Linked DNA regions of Macaca fascicularis. The protein of the gene in region 1 interacts with the protein of each later gene in a pairwise test. Links are inferred from orthologs where the notes say so. Each region holds a gene or a part of one and is shown in the gene's direction. Other genes may lie near its edges.

What was found. The genes of interacting proteins can lie anywhere in the genome.
Region 2: the proteins of EWSR1 (region 1) and MAPK1IP1L interact in binary tests that used the Homo sapiens proteins (3 or more experiments, as listed by UniProt). The link is inferred for Macaca fascicularis from reciprocal best matches to the Homo sapiens genes EWSR1 and MAPK1IP1L.

Annotation. Positions count from the first base shown.
Region 1 is NC_088384.1:22,374,209-22,377,852, reverse strand, and holds part of EWSR1 (RNA-binding protein EWS), read left to right. Parts: intron 1-608; coding exon 609-738; intron 739-2,522; coding exon 2,523-2,645; intron 2,646-3,644. UniProt on the Homo sapiens protein: Binds to ssRNA containing the consensus sequence 5'-AGGUAA-3'. Might normally function as a transcriptional repressor. EWS-fusion-proteins (EFPS) may play a role in the tumorigenic process.
Region 2 is NC_088381.1:122,906,624-122,910,961, forward strand, and holds the start of MAPK1IP1L (MAPK-interacting and spindle-stabilizing protein-like), read left to right. Parts: upstream 1-1,520; 5' UTR 1,521-1,677; intron 1,678-4,338.

The DNA of each region.
Region 1 (3,644 bases):
TGTCTGGGCATAGAAAATGCCAGGGCAGCCGGGCGCGATGGCTCAAGCCTGTAATCCCAGCACTTTGGGAGGCCGAGGCAGGCGGATCACGAGGTCAGGAGATCAAGACCATCCTGGGTAACACGGTGAAACCCCATCTCCACTAAAAAATACAAAAAACTAGCCGGGCGAGGTGGCGGGCGCCTGTAGTCCCAGCTACACAGGAGGCTGAGGCAGGAGAATGGCGTAAACCCGGGAGGTGGAGCTTGCAGTGAGCTGAGATTGTGCCACTGCACTCCAGCCCGGGCGACAGAGTGAGACTCCGTCTCAAAAAAGAAAAAAGAAAATGCCAGGGCAGGCGAACCAGCATCAGAAGATGGCTAAGGAAGGAGTGGGGCCTATCCTGTTCACTTCCACACTTTGTAACTTTGGGTCTACTTTGGTTTTTATGATAAAGCAGGGATAGAAGAGAAAATAACTTAAAATTCTGAAAAACTTAAAGCGGAGAAACAGTGACATTTAATGACTACTACATGTGAAAAATTGGTACTCTTCCTGGATTTTGCCGAACTTTTTTCTCCCAAATTAGTATATTCTAGTCATGCCTAACTATGGTGTTCTATGTCTAGATGAACAAGAGAACTGGGCAACCCATGATCCACATCTACCTGGACAAGGAAACAGGAAAGCCCAAAGGCGATGCCACAGTGTCCTATGAAGACCCACCTACGGCCAAGGCTGCCGTGGAATGGTTTGACGGTAAGATGTACTCACTGGCATTCTTAATCTCCCTGGCTATAGAGTATGGCAGGAGGGAGGAACTTGTGAACCACGGGAGCAAGAAGACCTTCCATCCCTTTCTGGGGGAAGTAGATTGCTGATCTCCCTTCAGTAGTATTAGGACCCAGCCATTGACCCTGGATTTGGAGATCCCTTTATTTTCAGGCTTTAGTATTACAAATCAACCTTGTTTAAAAGTGGCAAACACTTCTCTAAGCGCAGATTATCAGAAGGTACAGAAAACCCTTCAAAAGAACATCTTAGCCAGTGTACATTTGCATATAGATAAATATATATATTTAAATAAGGCCTTGACATTAATGCTGGGATTTCACTTCAGACAAAACCAACTTGAAAGCATTGAACGACTTGGCCAGGTCCAGTGGCTCACACCTGTAATCCCAGCACTTTGGGAGGCCAATGTAGGTGCATCGCTTGAATCCAGGGGCTTGAGACCAGCCTGGGGAACATGGCACAACCCTGTCTCTACAAAAAATACAAAAATTAGGCCAGGCGCGGTGGCTCAAGCCTGTAATCCCAGCACTTTGGGAGGCCGAGGCGGGTGGATCACGAGGTCAGGAGATCGAGACTATCCTGGCTAACATGGTGAAACCCCGTCTCTACTAAAAATACAAAAAAAAAAACCTAGCCGGGCGTGGTGGCGGGTGCCTGTAGTCTCAGCTACTTGGGAGGCTGAGGCGGGAGAATGGCGTGAACCCGGGAGGCAGAGCTTGCAGTGAGCCGAGATCACGCCACTGCACTCCAGCCTGGGAGACACAGCGAGACTCCGTCTCAAAAAAAAAAAAAAAAAAAAAAACAAAAATTAGCCAGGTGTTGTAGCGCACTCCTATACCTATAGTCCCAGCTACTCAGGAGGCTGAGGTGGGAGGATCACTTGAGCCCGGGGAGTTTGAAGCTGCAGTGAACTGAGATTGCACCACTGCACTCCAGCCTGGACAACAGCGAGACTCTGTCTCAAAGAAAGCGTCAAATAACAAGTCCTGGTTCTCTTTTCTTCGCCATACAGTCAGCTTCCCACCAGCTTATTTTCCTCCTTCTGGTAGACAGTATTTTTTTGCTTGTGTTTTTGATTTTTTGAGCCAGTTCACTTTGTCACCCGGGCTGAAGTGCAGTGGCACAAGCAGTCTCAGCTTACTGCAACCTCCGCCTCCCAGGTTCAGGTGAATCTTGTGTGTCAGCCACTTGAGTAGCTGCTGGACTCTACAGGTGCATGTCACCCTGCCCAGCTAACTTTTGTATTTTTTAGTAGAGATGGAGTTTCGCCATGTTGGCCAGGCTGCAGAGAGGTTTTTAAGTATATTTAAGTGTATGGCCTTTTTCTGGCCAGGCACGATGGCTCTTGCCTATAATCCTACCACTTTAGGAGGCCAAGGCAGGAGGATTGCTTGAACCAAGGAGTTCATGACCAGCCTGGGCAACCTAGCAAGAGACTGCCTCTACAAAACATTTTGTAAAATTAGCCAGGCATGGTGATGCGTGCCTGTAGTCCTAGCTACTTTGGAGGATTGCTTGAGCCTGTGAGATTGAAGCTGCAGTGAGCCTTGCCACTGCACTCCAGCCTAGGCAACAGAGTGAGACCCCCATCTCAAAAAAGCCTTTTTCTGGCCTTGTCAGTAAAGATCTTAGAGAAGATTACAGGAGGGGCAGACCTAATGCATCTGGGAGTGGTCATTTGATGATGTCGTTTAGTTGGTGAACAGGGAATATAGGGGAGTAATTGATGTTCTGTTGTCTTATTCCAGGGAAAGATTTTCAAGGGAGCAAACTTAAAGTCTCTCTTGCTCGGAAGAAGCCTCCAATGAACAGTATGAGGGGGGGTATGCCACCCCGTGAGGGCAGAGGGATGCCACCACCACTCCGCGGAGGTACTTTCTTTGATCTCCTATGTTGCATTAAAAGGTTTTCAATATACTCCCTACCCTTGAGAAACTTGATTACTAGAGTGAAGAAATACAAAATTGTGTGTAGAGTCAATACTTTGAACGTTTGTGGGTGTAAAAGGAAGAGGAGAAGAACACGGGAGGCTGGAAGCCACACTGCCTCTCACCTCCAGACTGCCATTTATTAGGCTTTGGTTGTGTCTGTATAGATTTGCCTGCTCCTTATATATTGTGGGAGTTTGGCCGCGTGTGGTGGCTCATGCCTGTAATTCCACCGCTTTGGGAGGCCGAGGCGGGCGGATTGCCTGAGGTCAGGAGTTTGACACCAGCCTGGCCAACATGGTGAAACTCTACTAAAAATACAAAAATTAGCCAGGCATGTTGGTGCATGCCTGTAATCCCAGCTACTTGGGAGACTGAGGCAGGAGAATTGCTTGAATCTGGGAGGTGGAGGTTGCAGTGAGCCAAGATCTTGTTTCACTGCATTCCAGCCCAGGCAACAGAGCAAGACTCCATCTCAAAAAAAAAAGGCCGGGCACAGTGGCTCATGCCTGTAATCCCAGCACTTTGGGAGGCGGATCACAAGGTCAGGAGATCGAGACCATCCTGGCTGACACAGTGAAATCCCATCTCTATTAAAAATAGAAAAATTAGCCGGGCGTGATGGCGGACACCTGTAGTCCCAGCTACTCGGGAGGCTGAGGCAGGAGAACAGCGTGAACCTGGGAGACGGAGCTTGCAGTGAGCTGAGATCGTGCCACTGTACTCCAGCCTGGGTGACAGAGCCAGACTCTGTCTAAAAAAAAAAAAAAAAAAAAGAATTGGAGCTCTGTTTCCTGTAGAGCACGTGGAACACGCTCATCACAGGGAAGGGGCTGATGCCTGAGCCACTCGGAAACATATGGGACGGGTGATGGGGAAATGACAACAGTGATATCTGTGGGTTTACTTAGTGATTTTTATTTCCCATAGCAAATCTGGTGC
Region 2 (4,338 bases), on another chromosome or scaffold:
GTTGCTTCAGGCTTCACCATGGCTCCACAAAGCACTGCTTATTCACTGTCTCCAGTGAGGACAGGCTAGGTCCACACTAGTCGTGTAATTTTCCATAGGCCTGTGTGCCCTTATCCAAAAATAAGACTCTGGGCTTAGATATTTTAAGTTCCTCTGTTGCCCCTTTTTCAGTGTGAGAATTGTGTTTGCTGTGGAATACATCCAGGGATGTCTTCCTTTAAATAAGTTCACAGTTTTAAATGGCCACCCCCTGACTCACTAATGCCTTACACAAAGCAAGATGCAAGTGCACCACATGCTTTTAGGATATTTTTATATGTTAAAAAAATGTATATTGGCCGGGCGCAGTGGCTCACGTCTGTAATCCCAGCACTTTGGGAGGCCGAGGCAGGCGGATCACAAGGTCAAGAGATCGAGACCATCCTGGCCAACATGGTGAAACCTCGTCTCTAAATTAGCTGGGCAACGTAGAGCGCGCCTGTAGTCCCAGCTACTTGGGAGGCTGAGGCAGGAGAATCGTTTGAACCCGGGAAGCGGAGGTTGCAGTGAGCTGAGATAGCGCCGCGCCACTGCACTCCAGCCTGGCAACAGAGCGAGACTCCGTCTAAAAAAATACATATATTGCATATATGTGTCTATTTTGCACACCATATAATTGTCACGACATCTTTATTGCTAGTTAGTAGGTTCCTTGACTGGGGTCATGTCATCTGTGCCTGACACAGGAGGTAATGTTTATTCAGAAATGAAGATCGCGGCTGGGCGCGGTGGCTCACGCCTGTAATACCAGCACTTTGGGAGGCCGAAGAGGGCGGATCGCTTGAGACTAGCAAGGTGAGACCCCATCTCTACTAAAAACACAAAAATCAGCGGGTGTGGTGACACACGCCTGTAGTCCCAGCTACTAGGAGGCTAAGATGGGAGGATAGCTTGAGACCACCAGGCAGAGGTTGCAGTGAGCCGAGATCGCGCCACTGCATTCCAGTCTGGGTGACAGATGCCTCGTCTCAAAAACCACAAAAAAGAACATAGGAGAAGAGGCATTGATGAGGAAAACTCAGCAAAGACAGCAAATATCAATTTGTTAAGCTATTTGCAAAGGTTTTCTCTTTCCTGTATTAATCTTTTCCCTCTCCCCACTTTTGGCCCGAGGATCTGAATCGTTCGGTCAGGCAGAAATCAGACCGCGTCCATACCCAGCCTCCTTCGAGGCCTAGCTGTAAAAACCGCTGAGCAAAGGGAATCCAGAATCAGCCCTCAAGCAACTCAAGACAAGTTAGCAATTTCCGCCGGTATGCCGTGAACACCGGCGACCACTGGCGTTTCCTCTGAGTCCTCGGAACTCCGGAAACTCTGGGAGCTTTCAGCCCGCCCATCAGGGGAAAGCGGCCCGGGGCCGGCGCCAGGTGGAGCCCATCCCCCTGCGTCTGGCGGGCCGCAGTACCGCCAGGGGCCTGCGGGAGGCGCACGCGGCGCGGCCTGAGGGGAGGGGGAGAGCGGGCGGAGGCGGTGCGCTCGGCGCTTCCTGTTCCGGCGCCAGGAGGAGCCGCGCGCTGCTGGTGCTGTTGCCGCCGCTGCTTTCCCTGCCGTCAGTCAGGCTGCGCCCGCTTCTTCAGGGCCCAGTCCCTCGGACCCATCGCCGCTTCTAGACCCTACTGCGGTCTCGGATATTGCCGGGTGAGGCTGCTTCGGTACTAGTGGGAGTCGTGAAGGGGAATCGGGGGGCTGGGGTTGCGGAGCCCGCGGGCGCGGCCAAGCGGGAAGCGGGCGCGGTAACTGAGGTGCATCGAGTCACGTCCAGTGCTCGGGCCGTGGTCGCCTGCCTGGGACCGGGGCTAAGCGTTTCTCTCGGTCGCCTTCCTCCACGCTGCGGGCTGCCTGGGGATCGCCCCCCAGGGAGAAGGTGTAGGAGGCCGCTGACGTCGCGCCCGACGGGTTTCTGGGCGCCTGACGTCAGGCCTGGCTGCGGGGCGGGGCGGGCGCGGGCCGGCCCCTCCCCCACCCTTTCCCGGCGGGCGCGACCCGCTCGGAGGCCGGTTCGCTCCGGTTGATCCCGGACTCCCTTTGTTCGTGCGTCCCTAAAAGGCTGCCGGCCTCGCGCCTTTTGGCCCCGATTTCCCCTCTACCCCCACCCCATTGCACCCATTCATTAATTTCTAATAAAAAGGGAAAAGCCTGAAAAGATTATTACAGGAATCTCGGGCGCTTGTTAATCCGCAGTGTGACAACGCTCTGGTTATGACTCACTAGAGGAATTGCCCACGGATACGTTAGATGAATACCCAGGGCAAACCACGAGAAGGGCAGAATTTAGGGATCTCCTTTTTAGGACTGAAGAGCGCATACCTACGATAGCTTATATATAGGGGGACCGTTTTCCTCTTTACCTTGAAAAGCAAGAGTACAGCTTTTAATAGGTAAAGATTGCAGTGTTAAAGCATGAAGCCGGACTCGCTCGACCGAAAAATTTTTTTTTAGTTTTACTGCTAGAGAAATACACACCTGGGGGTTGTAAAGGTCTGTTTTGAAAAGGAACCCTCATTACAGGCAAAGGTAGCCTTCAGAAACATTTTGTAAGTTCTTTGTTCACTGGTGTTCTTTGAGGGAAGAATAGAAATTTTTCATGCTGGCATCTCTGAGCCCACAATGCAAAGCGAGTTTGCTTCAGAAACTTGGAGTGAATTGCAAATATTGGAATGTTCTTTTCCTCTCTCCAGGAGGAATGGGTAATATCCATCCCCAGTCTCTTAGCTGAAACTTTTGAAGCTAGTGTGTTTTGAATTCAAAAATACTTGGATTTTATCTTCATCTTTTTAGAAAGACGACATGTTAGACGAGAGATAACACCCCCAGCAGAATGGGGCACCGCATCATCCAACATTAATATTTGCAGCAATAGATGTGAGCATTCATTCTAAGTGGGGGCGAATAGAAACTATAAATAGCTTCAGGTCACATTTTGCCACCATGTAAGATTTGTGCCAAACTTGGGAAAGTTTATTTTTTCGGAAGTCTCTGGATTGAGAAGGGCAGATAAAGATTTATGGACCTAAAAGTAGGCATCGTAAAAGCTAATATTTGTTGAGGTTTTGCTATATTCCAGGCAGTGACTAAGAGATTTGTTTATTATATAAGTCTTAGAGCAAATCTATGATGTGCATACGATTCTGATCTCCCTTTGCCTCGAGTTTGGAGAATTGGACTTGTCAACTCTGGCCAGTCCAACCAGTGAAGAGCTGCAGTTGTAGCTGGATGGTCATACTTTAGCGTTTACTCTTTTACCTATAAGCTAGATGTCCACATACAAGGGAAAGAGAATTTGGTACCTGTTTTCCACCCAAGCACTATTTTAGGCACTTGATTGGACAGAGTCCAATTTAGTTCATCGCAGCATTACTGGTCTGGTTGTTTTTTGTTTTTTGTTTTTAACTGCGTGCTTTTTACAAACAGTATGGCCTGTTCTTTATAGTTCAGGTTCATTCAGATGAGCCGACTCTTACTGAAATAATTCAAACCCTCGTCTAAGGTCTCTCTGCTAAGACTTTCCCCTTCCCTTGCTATATTCTAACCCATCTGAACTGCTTATACCTCCTCACAGATTCTCCCAATTTTTACACCAACTGCTCTTCTTTCCCTAGGACCCATGTCACCGCCCTCTACTCCCAGCTCTTTCTTTATGGTCCTTATGGACTGCAAAAGACAGCACATCTCAGGAATCTCCATGTAATACTAAAATTTCTCTAAAGCCCAACACATTGTTTGGCACATATGTTCCAATAAATATATAACTAAATGCCAAGAAATATTGCAGGTTGCATATCCCTTATCCCAAATGCTTGGAACCAGAAGTGTTTCAGATTTTGGATTTTTTTTTTTATATTACACCAGTTGAGCATCCGAAATCCAGAATGCTCTAATGAGCATTTTCTTTGAGCGGCATGTTGGCACTCAAAAAGTTTCAGATTTTTGAGCATTTCAAAACCCCCGTTTTTGAGTTGCCCAAATGTAAAAAATGGAACATAATCAGATAAATGAGCCAATGCTGAAAACTAGCATGTATTCTAATTTATAACTTTTTATTTTTGGAGACAGTCACTCACTGCAAGTTCCGCCTCCTGGGTTCAAGCGATTCTCCTGCCTCAGCCTACCGAAGTAGCTGGGATTACAGGTGTCTGCCACCGTGCCCAGCTAATTTTTTGTATTTTTGGTTGAGATGGGGTTTCACCATGTTGGCAAGGCTGGTCTTGAACTCCTGATCTCACGTGATCCACCCCCCTGGGCCTCCCAAAGTGCCGGGATTACAGGCTTGAGACACTGTGCCCAGCCATTAATTTATAT